Linked DNA regions of Lonchura striata. The protein of the gene in region 2 purifies or fractionates together with the protein of the main gene of each other region. This does not show direct contact. Links are inferred from orthologs where the notes say so. Each region holds a gene or a part of one and is shown on either strand. Other genes may lie near its edges. The genes, in order: ENDOG and dnaJ homolog subfamily A member 1.

The links.
Region 1: the proteins of dnaJ homolog subfamily A member 1 (region 2) and ENDOG purify together in Homo sapiens (affinity purification with mass spectrometry; 3 studies listed by BioGRID and IntAct, counting the BioPlex papers as one, with this or other methods). This does not show direct contact. The link is inferred for Lonchura striata from reciprocal best matches to the Homo sapiens genes DNAJA1 and ENDOG.

What each region holds. Positions count from the first base shown.
Region 1 is NC_134624.1:307,482-314,781, forward strand, and holds ENDOG (endonuclease G, mitochondrial), read right to left. Parts: upstream 2,948-7,300; coding exon 2,447-2,947; intron 1,993-2,446; coding exon 1,883-1,992; intron 1,227-1,882; coding exon 944-1,226; 3' UTR 521-943; downstream 1-520. Other genes in the region: TBC1D13 (TBC1 domain family member 13), read right to left, coding at 6,935-7,000. UniProt on the Homo sapiens protein: Endonuclease that preferentially catalyzes the cleavage of double-stranded 5-hydroxymethylcytosine (5hmC)-modified DNA.
Region 2 is NC_134642.1:48,010,301-48,017,702, forward strand, and holds the start of dnaJ homolog subfamily A member 1, read right to left. Parts: upstream 3,111-7,402; 5' UTR 2,963-3,110; coding exon 2,831-2,962; intron 2,720-2,830; coding exon 2,542-2,719; intron 1,477-2,541; coding exon 1,372-1,476; intron 1,276-1,371; coding exon 1,048-1,275; intron 1-1,047. Other genes in the region: APTX (aprataxin), read left to right, coding at 3,751-3,932, 4,766-4,902, 5,604-5,650, 7,077-7,388.

The DNA.
Region 1 (7,300 bases), on a different chromosome or scaffold from region 2:
ACAACACCCAACCAGGAATTCACTGCTGCTAGGAGCAGCAAGTCTGTGCCCTCCTGCCTGCACAGTCCAGCCAAGAGCTGGTTGCTGCTTCCCAGCAGCTGGCACGAGCAGACTTGGTCTCAGCAACTCAGACATCTGGGTGGGAATAAAACAGTGTGGAACCTCAGTTGCTGCGAATTCCAGGTGTGTGTCTTCAGGCAGTGCCTCTGGAGCGATGTGGCCTTCAGACTGAAACAAAGTCAGAACTTATGCTAAGAAACTGTTCCTGCCTCAGCCTGATTTCCCCCAGCCCCCCTTCAAGGCTTCATCTTTCCCAACAGCAGGAAGGCTGGAGCTTCAATTGAGCCTCAGCACTAAAACACATCATCTCATTACAGTCTGGCTCTGTCTGTGATGCCTTAAGCTCTGCCTACAGTGAGCTCAGACAGGAAAGCAGCTGCAAAAGTTGGCTCCATCCTCTCCTCCTCCTGCTGAGATATTCAGAGCTTTGGTGAGAGCAGGTAAGAAACAGCCAATACCATGGGTGTTCAAAGCTTTACTGCTAAAACCATCTTCTGAAAGAAAACAATTGCACAGTTATTCAGCCACAGGAAGGCAGGAACTTCTCTACTCCCTTGGCACCCACCTTGCTCCCCTCCTTCCCTGCTAAACAGCAACAGTTAGCTGACTTCCCTTTCTACCTCAATGAGCTTCACAAAACTCCAAGGCAGCAGTAGATTAGGGGCAAATCCTAGAGAGCTACTACAGTGTCAGGTGCCCCTGAGCCTCCTGCAGGACCACTCTGGAGACCTGTTGTGCATCTGTGTTTCAGTTTGACACAAGGGGAATGGTAGAGAGAAGCACAGGTTTGAATCTTAATTCCCACAACTGCACAAGGAACTATGATTGTCAGGTGACTGCCAGTCCCTTGCCAGGGGTTACCTGTATTTGCTCTAGTTAGGGTTCACTGCTTTCCAGCTGTGATGGCTTTCAAGTTACTTGTTCTCCTGAGGATGTTTGGGACAAAAAGGAGCCCTGAAGCTCGCTCAATGCTTTCGATGGGAACCAGGAACCGTTCCAGGGGGATTTTATCATCCACAGGGCTGTTGGGCATCACGTAGGAGCGCAACTCAATCTCCCCACTCTCCTTTTCCAAGATGAGCACCTTGAAGAAATGGGTGGGGACAGCCACGTTGTTCTTCCCAATCACCTGGTACTTCACATACATCTTCCCATCGGCCTCCATCCTGCACCAACAGCAACATCCCAGGTTATTTCTTAGTCTGGTGTCACTCCACCCCCTCAGTGAGAGCCCCCCCACAGGAGGCAGCAGCTCTGCTCCTGCAACACGCCTGTAAAACATGGCTGGGGCAGAGGCCATGTGACATGGTGAGGGTGAGCTGTGCATTGGGGCTGCCCCCAAATCCTCTCCCTGCTGGCTCTCTTTAACAGACTTTCCAAGCTATTTCCTGCCGCTGAAGAGATCTCAACATGAGACAGCTGCTCTTTGGTGCTACGTGGAGATCTTGAAAAATAAAATTGTGTCCTTAAGTGGAGAAGTAGTCTGTGACACTGAACCTGAAAGCTTTATTCTGCAGGGATGGGGTCAGCAGTCTAATCTGGTAATCAGCTAATTTACTAATTGTTAAAGACTGCAAACAAAAACAAGCTGTGGCTATACTGCAGCTCAACAATGCCACTTGACTCATGAAATAATAATCTGAATGGGAAATACATAAACTAATCCTAAAAAGGTACCTTTCTACAGAACCTCTGTGCACAGCTGGTCTCACCTACTGAGAAGGCCCTTAGTAGATGCCTCCTGTGTGGTCCTTTAGCCTCTTTTCCTTTGCCAGCACAATACATCTTTTGGGTGCCAGTCCAGCTCAGCCCCTGTGTTTACCTGGGCAGGAAGAGGGGTCCTGTGCAGACGTAGACATTCCTGTTGTTTCTTGCCAAGCTTCTGCAGTACTTCTCAAGGTTATTCCAGGCATTCTGGTTTAAATGAGGATTCTAGAAACACAACCAGTAGTCAATTGCTGGAGTATTTCCTCACTGTTCAGAGTAACACATCTCACAGAGCCCCAAGCACTTTCCATACCCAATCTCCACTATCACCTCTGCTTTGGGAGCAGTGATGGCCTGGTTTGCACACCCAGGGCAGGACCCATTGCCTAAGGCCTCAATTTTTAGCAAGTGTGCATCTACCTGTTTAATTCTGCTCCTGACAGGAGCTGCACTGACCGTGGTCTCTCTTTCATGGCTTAAGAGGCGCGCACACACACAGGTGCATTTGCACAATTCCTGTTATTAAATTTAGCAGGAAATCGGCACCTCCGAGTGACTTTGGCCCCTCTGCCTGAAGTGCAGGCAGACACCGGGACGCTCCCGGGGGGTTTCCCGCACGGAGCAGCGTCTGCCCTTGACCGCGGGCAGCTCGGGCCTCCCCGCAGGGCTCGGGCCGTACCTGCGGGGCGATGTTGCTCAAGTAGAAGGTGTCCCGCATGGCCTTCTGGCTCCACTTGTGGTTGGCGGCGGCGGCCAGGTGCCCGCGGTCGAAGCCGCTGCCGCGGTAGTCGGCGTTGGTGGCGCGGTGATATTCGTGCACCGAGTCGTCCTCCTGGAAGTCGCAGGCGGCGCGGTCCGAGGAGCCGCTGAGCGTGTCGCGGTTGAGCTGCTCGATGACCCAGAGCGCGCTGCGGCTCCGCGGGTCGTAGCACAGCACGTAGGACTCGCGGCTCCGCAGCTGCGCCAGCCCGGGCAGCCCGTACTTGCTCAGCTCCGTGCGCCCCGAGCCCGGCGGCGCGGGCAGGCTGGCCGCTGCCACGGCGGGCAGCACGGGCAGGCGGGCCAGCAGCCCCTCGGCCGCATCGCCCCGCTGCCGGTGCTCCCGGTGCTGCCGGCGGGTGAGGGCCGCGCCCAGCCCCGCGCCCACCGCCAGCGGCAGCGCCCAGCGCGCCCGCAGCATGGCCGCTCCACCGCGCGGCGGCCCCGCCTTCAACCGGCCGCGGCTCGGGCCCCGCGCGCCGCGCTGCGCCGGCGGCATCGCCGCTTTAAGGGGAACGCGATGGCGGGACCGCTTGGCCGGGAGCGGCCCCGGGCCGGGACAGCGGCGGGGACACGGACACCGGGACACGGGACACAGGGACACCGGGACACCGGGACACCGGGACACCGGGAACACCGCCACCTGTGCCACGCATTCCTGGGAAGGCAAAGCAAAGCCATGGCGGAAAGGAGAAGGCGGTGGAGGAGCCAGGCGGGTTCGCCAGGGCTCCCCGCAGCTCGCTGTGCTGCTGGTCACACCTACGGACACCGCAGCAGGAACCTGGAGCAGCCCCAACTCACACCAACAGGAGAGGTTTGCACAGACATACGTTTACTTAAAGGAAAACTTATAAAAATAGTGTTTGAAAAAAGAAGCATAAAATAAGGAGTTTTAGAGTGATGAAATGTTCACTACACCCTTTTCTCACAGCTCTTCACAAAGTGGAAAAAAAAAGTGTTATCTGTTCCTTTCTTTGGGGAAAGGGCATTTTAGAAGACTGCTCTGAACAGCTAACACAAAGTCACTGACATTCCTTCAGGAAAACCAGCCTCTGATTCCCAAACACCCCAGACTCCCCCAAAACAACTTCTGGCCTTCATTCTTCTCAATGCCAAAGTGTGATTACTTCTAGGTCAGGTCACAAAATTCAAACTCAAAATCAGTCTCCTGAATAACCACCACCAGCAACTTGATCCACATCACTGGCAAAGCTACAAAGTTCTACAAAGCTTGAACTCCAGTAAGGTGCAGGTAGAACAGACCTCTCCTTCCCAGGAAAGGCTCATGTCCCACATCCAGGAGTGTCCTTTTCCCCTCCCAGCTGAAGGTGATTTCCCCTTCCCTTGTCGGGCAGTAGTCCTGCCTGCGAGGAGCACACGGTAATACCTATTTAAACTTCCTCTGTTCAAGTCCCTGTGAGACAATGGGTCCCCAAGGCAGCCCAGACTAACGCCTCCCACCCCAAAGATCAGTTCTTTCAGCAGGTCAGGACTGTAAGAAACCAGAAGCAGAAACATCTCAAGGCTGGAGCAGGTGTTACTTGGCCACACAAGCAAGGAAACACCAGTTAAGTATTGTCTCACTACAAGAACAACAAAAATAAATCACCAAAAACCTTTGACGAATGAAGCCAAGAGAAACATGAGGAGATTCTAAAGTTGGTAAAAGGTTAAGATTTTCTTCTGTCCTGTCAGAAAATCTGGTTTTACTCTCAAAGAAATTAGAAAGTCTTGGAATAAAGAAATAGATGTCCCAAGACAATGAAAAGCACCACTCCTTTCAACAGCAGGACAGAAGTTCTACCACACAGGAAGGAAATAAGCACAAATATAAAACAGCTTTTTATGTACAGAACAGCCTGTCTGGACATTTCAAAGTTGTTGCAAGCTCTCCCCACAGAACTCAGTAGGTTTGGCAGCCATAGCTTGGATAAGGCTACAGAATTTGTCCCAGAGATCCTTTCCAGCAGCCAAATCTCTCATTGCATCCCTTTAAAACCACTGCAAACTCCTTTCTAAAGCACACCTAGGAAGGGAGAAGACAGCACAACACCTGTGCTGCCACCTCCCCTGTGCCTTCCCCAGTGGGATGGTCACCTCAGGGCCCAAAGCTATGCTGAAAACATGGAGAAGTTCCTCTCCAAGTAATGCTTTCATCCTAATTTGCCTGCTGCCTCCTCAGGTTACTTTAAGGAGACTTCCAGCTGTTCAGAGCAGGAACACTCATGGATGGTCCTGTTGCCAGTAAGAACTTCCAGCATAAGGAAACCCTGCAGGTGCCAGGGAAGCCCAAAGTGAACAGCCCAGCAAAGGATTCAGGGAGATGAGAGCAGAGTTTGTGCATGGAATGGGAAAGCTGCAGTATTTACAGCAGTTCTGAGGCAGAAGTGTTTGGAGCAGGTACAGTTCTGCCTAAGAGTGATTCTACATCTGTAGAGAACCTCCCAGGTGGCTCTTTGACCACACGAGGTCTGGCCAACAGCCTCCCCAGTGCAGGTACCCAAGAGCTGAGACATAAGACCACCTGGAGCAGCTCAGAAAGAACATCCATCCAGTGGCCAGAGCAGCCAGGGTGCTTCATCACACTGCTGTCCTGGTCTACCTGTCCCAGTTTTCTTGGAGGAAAGCTATACCCTCAAGAAAAGATTGCAGCAGAGAGGGATACTGTTGCCACAGGTATTAATTAGAGATTGCTATAAACCTTAAATTGCTCTTGCAACACAGCAGCAACACATGGCTGCACAAGTGGTACTTGAGCATCTATTCAAGAGGCAGAGATTGCTTGGGATTGCCAATAAGAACATGGGTATGTACACCAACCTGTCCTGCTGTCTCTCCCCATGCACCTTGGTGAGAATTACAGCAGCCTGTGAGGGCCTTCAGTGAAGGAAATAACACCAGTAAAAAACCTCAAGGCTGCCAGCATCCCTCTTGCTAGGGCAAGTCTAGGCCAGCAGCAGCTTAAGCAGATATTACAAAGACTGACTGACCTTTAACAAATCAACACCCATAAATACCAAAAACTGCAGAGTCCAACAGCAGAGGTGAGCCAGCACAGCGCAGAAAGAAAGGGGAAAGCATGTTGGATTATTGTTCACTCAAAAGCTTCTGCACCACACAAGCACCTGGGTGCTGGCAGTTCCTCTCTCTGGGGATTAGAGTTTCTGCTCAGCTCGGCACTGTGGCAGGTCAGCAGTTCTCCCTGTGGTTTGTCTCAGTCCCTGGTCACCTGAAGTGCAGCATTTCCCTCTCAGGAGAACAAGTGTCCAGCTCAGGACTGTGACTCCAGCAGGACCAAGACAGAACAGTGGATCAGCCCCAGCAGTCAGCTCATGACAGATGCCTGTGTGCCTGCTGGATTGTGCTAGAGAAGGACTCTTATTGCAGATCAGAACTGTCGCTTCCTGGCAAGAAGTACTGTGAGACAATAGCAAGGTTACTGTGACCAGACCTCAATGGGAATAGTATTATTTAAGCCACTGAGGCAGAAAACTCCAGTTCCGTGCCTGTATAAGCCCCTAAATACATCTGTCTTCATTGCACATGATTAGGTGTCCATTTCTTGTGTTTCAGAATCCTGATTGTAGCTGGATATGCTCCAGTTCAGAGCAGCATGAGGCCTCCCTTCAGCAACAATCCTGCTCTAAGGCTGTGCGTAGTAAGGCTTGACTTGGAACTACACTTCAGCGGGGGATTAAAACCACCAGTCTTGCTTTCAAGGACACCTCGTTGATAAGGCAGCTCTGGATTCAGGCAGTTTGAGTGCACAAAGCCACCAGCTGTCACCGTGTCCTCCCACCTCAACTTCCCAAGTCTCTTTCCCAGTCAAAGGAGTGCAAACTGTCAGGTGACCCTCACCAGAAAGTGATGCAATCTTCTTCACACACTTCAGGGATGGCCAAGTGCAGACACGAGAGAGAAGAATCCAAAATCTACTTGAATGGCAGAATGTGTGACTTCACTGGAATACATTCTATTCACAGGAGGAAGATCCTTCTATCCTCACCCACCAAAATTCACTGGACTTAAGTCTGTCCTTTCTCCATCAGAAGTTACTCCGTGTGTACTTCCACAATACAGGAGTCCATCCCTTCAGGGATATGCAGACAGAAGGTTTCTTTCTCCCCAGACTCAAAGTCATTAAAAAAAAGATACAAAGAGCTGCTTTTGGCAGCAAAGAGGCATTTCAGATGTGGAAAAATCTGGAGTGCAGGACCCAAGTAGATAGGGAAGTAATCAGTCCTTGACCTAATAAATAGAGTAGAAGTCTTCAAGGTGGCCAGTAGTCCTAACAAAACCTGAAGTCTTGCAGAGACCAGTAGGAGCTTTAGTGCACCACACTGCAAGAGGCCATCTCCCAGGATCCACTGTCACACAGTTCTCTAACACCTTTTGTCAGGCCCATGGACTATTTGGAATCTTGAAGTTCCTTTGCCTTCTTCAAAATCAGATGAACATCAGAGATAGGATAATCCTATGGCAAAGAAGCAAAGGGATTTCAGTGACTTCCCAGCATTCTTGATACAGATTGTTTCACTTAAGCAAGGCAAACCTTGACAACAAGGTTCTTGGCCTATTATAACATACAGCCATGTTCAGTTACTCCCTTAACAGCTAGTGTTTCCTGTTTTGTAACTGATCAAACCTCAATACCCTTCCAGAAGGTTTGTTGCTGGTTTTTTTCACTTTGTCCTCCAAGGGCACAGTAACCTGGCCTGCCACAGGGCTTCTGTCTCATGCCAGAGAGCCTTATCAAAGCCAGTATCTTGCACAG
Region 2 (7,402 bases):
AAATCAAACACTGTGTACAAACTTTATTTCAACAGCAGTTGACCAGTCAGCTTCTTCACTTTCATAAATATGTAGCGCATCTCCTTATGAAGAATGATCTGATTGCCTGCCAAGTCCAAGAAGCATTCCCTATGGACTGAAAACCTCCCATAAGAAACTTGTTTCACCCACACAAGAAATCGATTGAACAAAAATACTAGCTTTCTTATCCTACATAAATCTTTTCCCTTACTTCTATAAAAACATCCTTCTCATAAGACTTCCCTGTTCAAAATATCAGTAATACATCCCTTCTAGACCTTATATTTACTACCACTATGGATCTCCCCTACAAATTCAGGTGCTGCAGAAGCTCTGCTTACACATGTAACAGCTGCAGGCCATAATCACAAGCAAGACCGTTTAAGTCATGTACTTGTCAGCGTGCTCTGCCTTACAAGCTGCATTACTCCAGACTTCTCCCACCAGCTTTTGGGCAGCCCCCTCAACAGAGATGCATTTGTCATTCAATACCATTCCGTTCACCCATCACGTTGAGGGTTTGTGTATTGAGGTGCATTTTGCCAGGCAAGGAAGTGGTACCTGCATTGGGCAGCACTGTCAGGGCTGCGTAGTCAACAGAGCTTTAAGCATGAGAGCCTTAGCACTGTCTGTGCACCCTGCCACTATAGCAGACCTGGCTCCCCTTCACACTGAAACACAGCGGAAGTGATCAGTCTGCAGTTTTGCTGCACGCAGTGAAAATTGATTGTGTTACCTGATCACAAATTGGGCTTAGAGGGACCTGAAAAATAATTCACTTCTTACAATAACGCAGGTTTCAGAATTCATTCTTAGTTATGTGCCAGGCTTTAGAAGTGAACAGAGATAGTGGACCTTCCCTAGAAAATAAGTCTACTTTTGTAAGGCAGCAGTAAGCAATTTTACTGTGTATTCAGCACTATTACTCACAAAATCAACACCACATTTGCTAAAGCTTTTGTTTTAGTGCTGCAAAGTCAGTCAGTACATTCAAGTTCAATACTTCACCTCAGTAAGACACCTCACCTTTGTCAATGTGAACTTCCAGTATCTTCTTCTCTCGAACAATTTTTCTGCCATTGCAGCTCTTACACCGGTCCTTGGGGCTGATACGCTCCCCATGCCCCTGACACTCAATACACACAGACTGGATCTGCTGCACCATTCCTGGCCCAATCTGGTGAATTCTGATCTGCATGCCTGTTCCCCTACAATTAGGGCAGCATTCTACAGCACCTTTCTTACCACCACGACCTGAGAACAAAAAATGGAGTTAGGTGGTTATGTGCTACCAGAAAAAAATCCCCCAAAGCTTTAGAAACATCTCTTTAATTTCAGTTTCAACATTACCTTCACATTTGTCACAGATAATGTTTTTCTGCAGTGCAAGTTTCCTCATCGCACCATTGTACATATCTTCTAAACTTACTGACAACTGGTGGACTACGTTTTTACCTGTAAAAGAACAGAACTTAATTAAAGTTTAGAAGCTTGGTTGGCACATCTCCCTGCCAAGCCAAGATAAACTAAGTCTCTGGGCTTCAGTATCTTGTATCGATAGAGGTTTGTCTTGTTTTGCTTGTATTAGTCAAAAGCTTCTTCCCAGGTGCTGTCATATTAGGTAACAGTTGTCATGACTTTGACTTTGTTAAAGTCAGAAGAGACCTTCTGGAAAAGTACAAACAAGTATGAGCAACAGAACACACAGAACCTCAAACGTTTAAGTTTTATAATGCAGGACTCAGGTTTCAACAAAGTCACCAAAAAGATCTACAAACAAGGCAGAGACTCTGTTTGGAATCTCCATTTCAGCACTTCCTTCCTCTCACCAGGTGACCTTCTGGAAGCAAAAATAAGCAATTATATTTTTACCCTCAAGAACTCCTTAGCACTTCAGCTGCTGTAGGCCTAGTTTTGTAAATGATGCTGAGCTCTGGGTTATTACAAGTACTTTGACACTCTTAACATTTTGATACAAAACATTTTTTCTTCATCTTTTCAACAGATCTTCACTAAGAGGTGACAGGCTCAGCACTGCTCTTAACAGCTTTAAAGTTTTTCCCAGCGTGATTAAACTGGAGTTTAACTTCTGGGTAGCATTTTACCGCAGTTTCAACTTAATTCCACTGCACAGTGCAGGAACACAGAAAAATTTCACAGACTGAACTGGATCTTGATATCTGATTTAGATAGTTGCTTTTAGATACTACAGTTACAGTAACTTAATTAGTAAACCATTTTAAGCTACTTTACCCTTCCATTTCCTATTTTGTCTACTAGCAGCTGGGCTTACACTCAAGCTAAAAGTACTCCGAACACACCTGCTTTAGCGATTAACAGGGGACAGTGCACAGGGATACCCAACTACCACCACACCAACCAAGGGCCCTCCCTTGGTGTTTCAGGTGTTAAGGGACAAGAGTTTTCTCCAATTTTCAGATTAAGTCTATAATTTCTGTTTAAACTCCTACATCTAAGGCATTCCCCTCAGAGAATCTGATACCCTCGCCAACACGTTACCTCGCCTCTCCCTCTGCATCCTTCCTCCACCGCCGAAGAACATATCGAATATGTCCATGGGTGACCCGAAGCCGCCGCCGGAGCCACCCTCCTTGATAGCCTGTTCGCCTCCTTTGTCATAGAGCTCTCTCTTCTTCGGGTCCGACAGCACTTCGTAAGCTTGCGAGATCTGCTTGAACTGCAGAAAGAACAGCACCGGCACTCAGGCACCCGCGGCACCCCCGGCGGGCCTCCCGCCCGACCCCTCCCGCGCGGCCCCCCCCGCCCCGGCCCGTCCCGTCCCGCCGACCTTCTCGCCCTCATTGGGGTTCTTGTCCGGGTGGTACTTGAGTGCGAGCTTGCGGTAGGCCTTCTTCAGCTCCTCGGCGGATGCGTTGGGCTTCACGCCCAGCACGTCGTAGTAGGTGGTCTCCTTCACCATGGCGGTGGCGGCACGGGGGTCCCGGGGCGGCGGTCGCGGATCCCACTCCGCGCAGCTCCGATCCCGACTCTTCTGGAAAGTTCGGGCCGGGCCCGCAGCCCCGCCGCTTCAGCAGCCGGCCCCGCCCCGGAAGTCCTGCCCCGCCGCGCGCAGGGCCCGGGCGAGTGGCCCACCAATGGCTGCTCAGGAGGGGAAGGCGCTTGGCCAATCTGCGCCCGCCTCCGCCGCCGATCTGGAGCGCGGCCCCGCCCCGCCCCGCGTGGGCGGCGCCGTCCCTGCCCAGCGTCCGCCTCGCCTTGCGCCTGCGCCGTCGGCCGCTCCCGCCCTCGAAGGCTCTGAGTAGCACCGGGTACGCAGCGCCGGCCCGGCCGTCGCCTTCCGGCAACGCTCCGCGCCTTACCCCCCTCACCCTACGCAGACTTGGCTCCGCCGCCGCAAGGCCGGCCGGCACTGCCCCTTTGTGAGGGCCCAGCGCCCACCCCCGGGTGCGCGGGCCCAGTGCGCCTGCGCGGAGCTACGCGCCGCGGCGGGCGCCTCCCTCTAGTCACGTGGGAGACACGCTGCCACAGCTGATTGGCTGCAGTGGCGGCTGCGGCGGCGCGAACATCACGCGCGCGGTAAGGGGGAGGGGTCGGTCAGGCGTTGCCATGGGAACGGGGCCCACGGGGATGGGCGTGTTCCCGTGGGGATGGGCGTGTGCCGTGGGGATGGGCATGTTCCCGTGGGGATGGGCGTGTGCCGTGGGGATGGATGGGCGTGTGCCGTGGGGATGGGCGTGTGCCGTGGGGATGGGTGTGTGCCGTGGGGATGGGCGTGTTCCCGTGGGGATGGGTGTGTGCCGTGGGGATGGATGGGTGTGTGCCGTGGGGATGGGTGTGTGCCGTGGGGATGGGCGTGTGCCGTGGGGATGGGCGTGTTCCCGTGGGGATGGGTGTGTGCCGTGGGGATGGGCGTGTTCCCGTGGGGATGGGTGTGTGCCGTGGGGATGGGCATGTTCCCGTGGGGATGGGTGTGTGCCGTGGGGATGGGCATGTTCCCGTGGGGATGGGTGTGTGCCGTGGGGATGGATGGGTGTGTGCCGTGGGGATGGATGGGTGTGTGCCGTGGGGATGGGCGTGTGCCGTGGGGATGGATGGGTGTGTGCCGTGGGGATGGGTGTGTGCCGTGGGGATGGACGTGTGCCGTGGGGATGGGTGTGTGCCGTGGGGATGGACGTGTGCCGTGGGGATGGGTGTGTGGCATGCCAGCGTTAGACTGGGGACCGAGCCTTGCTTTCCGCAGGCATGAGCTCTCCAGTGCAGAGCTCATGAGGGATCTTTACCAGGGTCAAACTGATGTAAGCTTGAAGGTTACATGGCATGGTCCGTGTGCTGACTGTTGCTGGATGAAGCTGTCACAACTCTCTCATCATGTGTTGTCTTCTGCTGCTCTCTCTTATTTTGGTTGTTAAATTAATCTCTTCGGTGAACTCTGATTCAGTGGGAAACAAAGTGACGTTTTTTGTGGTTAGGCTCTTCTGTCAGATGGAACTGTCAATAAAATTGATTTTTCCTATATATGGTTCACAGATGTGAGAATGTATGGTAGTGTAGGAAGGAAAACAGTATTGCCCTTTCAAACAGCAACCTGCTCTTGGATTATGCAAGTGCTGGTGACATGGTTTGCTTTGCATTTCAGAAACTTGAACCAAGTTAATAGAATTGGCTAACCTAATGGTAGCAGAATTCATGGACCATGTTCCACAGCAAGGTAGCCCATCAGAAAGTGGCGTGTTGGTAACACACTGTTTATTTTGCTCTATAGCACAGTGATGCGTATGTGCTGGCTTGTGAGCAAAGAGAAATGCACTCAGCGGGTGAAACTGCCACACTTGGAACCTGTGGTAATTGGGCGTGGCCCAGAGACTGGGATAACAGATAAGAAGTGTTCACGTCAGCAAGGTAAGGTGATTTAGCTCAAATCCTGCTTTCCACGTGCAGCAGCAACTGAGCGTGCCTTGTTCCTCTGTGTGTTCTGCAGTGTTGCCTGCTTCTTGAAGTCATCAAGCCTTTTTAATAAGCACTTATGGGGATCTCTGGGGCCTACAAAATCAGAGACAGGACGTCCGCCTCCACATACAAAAGCTTTTTGTGAGTTCCCAGGCCCACAATTGTGTTTCACTGCTCACTTCATGAGCAGCACTTCTTCTCCCTAGTATTCCACCAACTGATTTTTAGCATAATTATTATTTAATATGTAAAATAATGTGATCTTGGAGAATATATGAAAATACCTATCACTTATTTAATACTGCACATCTTCCCTGTGTTATATTCTGTGCCTCTGGACACAGTCTTGCTCTATGCCTTATTGTCCCAGTGGGCTGGTTAGAATGTCAAGCATATGTATAAATATCAACAGAATCCACCTTTGTTCCAAAGTAATTCCACCCTTGGCTCAGTGTATGGGTTGACTCTGTTTTACCTGTGGTATGAGAAGAGGTATGAAGAGATGAGGCAGAAATATTCTTGGCATGCATTCACAAAGATTAGCTCCAGAAAGATATGGCTCTTCAAAAAGAGGAGTGTTTTCTGGACTGGGTGGTTCAGCAGAGTTCTTTTTATTTACATGGTTTTGTGACACTTTGTTCTTTCTTTTCCAGTTCAGTTAAAAGCAGACTGTAACAAGGGTTATGTCACAGTTAAACAGGTATGTTTTTATGCATGGATCTCCAATATTTCTGGTACTGGGACAGTTGTACTTAACTCCACAACTGCTCCAAGTGGTGATTCTAATCACGGTGTCTGAGGGACCTGAAGTTTTCTTATCACCAAGAGAAGTTACAGCAAGTGTATTTTCTTATTTGTGCACCTCAGTGAGAGGTTGCACTATTCATTCCAGATACATTCCAGTCTAACACAGCCAGATTTGTAGCATCAGGGAATGCTGTTGTGAGTACTCAATCAGTTCTGTTGGGTGCTGCATTTGAGAGACTTTGGACTTCTTCTACTAAACTTGCTTATCTTTTTCCTGAGCCTTAAACTTCATAAGCTGAGGCAGCCCTTTGTTTAAGGTTGAAGTTCTTGTGTTAATGGGACTATGCAGTTGTAGAACATTTTTATTGGTGGACTGATAGGGCCAGAGATGTGGTTACTTATAGGAAGGGATGGGATGTAAGACAGCCCTGCAGGAATGTTACCAGATGGATGGAGGCAGGCCTATTCCCTCACACTTTACAAAACCCAGTCTCTGAGAGAATAGGAAGGGAAAGGTCTCTGGTACTGCTGCTTGTGTGTGTGAAGAGTTGCTCCCCAGGTGAGAGATGTGTGGCACAAGGTTCCAGTGATCAGTTGTTTGATACTTTATTCACTGATGGGAAGCATCCTTGACTTGAGGGAAACTGCATAGCTGTAGACTAAAGAGATCCTGGCTGGAATCAGGTGTGTGCTTCATTGCAGTGAATTCCAAGTGAGAGGTATAGTACTGTCTTGTGAAGCATGCAGGTATGGCAGTGACAAAGCTAGCAAAAACTCTGAGTTCATCAGTCACAGAAGAGAGCTGATTTCCTAAAACCCGTTTTGTGCATATACATTAACCAAAAGCATTTTGCTGAAGACTCCTAATTTTTGTAAGGTCACCTACATGATGATGCAAAATCCATCTGTCAAGCAATCTCTGTAGGTTGCCTACAACACAGTTTGATTGCACAAAAATAATTTGCTAAAACTACAGTTGCTCTTCAGAAATAGTTGCTGTTGTTACTTCATGTAACAGTTGTTACAGTTGTTACATGTAACAGTTGTAACTAGTTGTTTCATAGGTGTCTAATTTGTGAGGGAAGTGCAGCACAAGTGATGCTGTAACTGTGTAGCTGCTGCAGACCCAGGCTCCTTCTGATGGCAGGCCCTGAGGTTGTGTGCTGACAGCTGTGACTGCAAGACTGGGACAGAAACAGACGTCCACAGTGCTTCACTGCCTGGTTGGCTAAAGTGGGTTGATGTGGGCAGGCTGGGCGATGAATGCAGAATGCATTTGCTTTCTAGGATAATGGTATTCCAGGAGAACTGAGCAGAAGTTGGCGATTCCACTTACAACATAATTTTCTACTATTTTTTCCTTTTCCTGTCTACCAAAGATAGGGGTCAACCCAACTAGTGTTGATCTTGTGAATATTGGCAAGGATGAAGTGGTAAAAATGAAGCCAGGCCAAGTTCTGCATATTGTAAATAATCTTTACCCCTATGTGGTGGAATTTGCCGAAGAGTCTGGGAAAACTGTTTCAAAAGCAGACAAGATGCCACATGAGGACTCCTGTGAGAATGATGATATAGAGCTTGTGCCCAGAAAAACAATGAAGTTGGAGGTGGTGGATACACAAGGCAGTTCTACAAATCCAAAGCTAAGCAATACCAAAGTATCTACACATGAAGGAGCTTTGAGCCAAAAGGCAAGTGTGCTGGT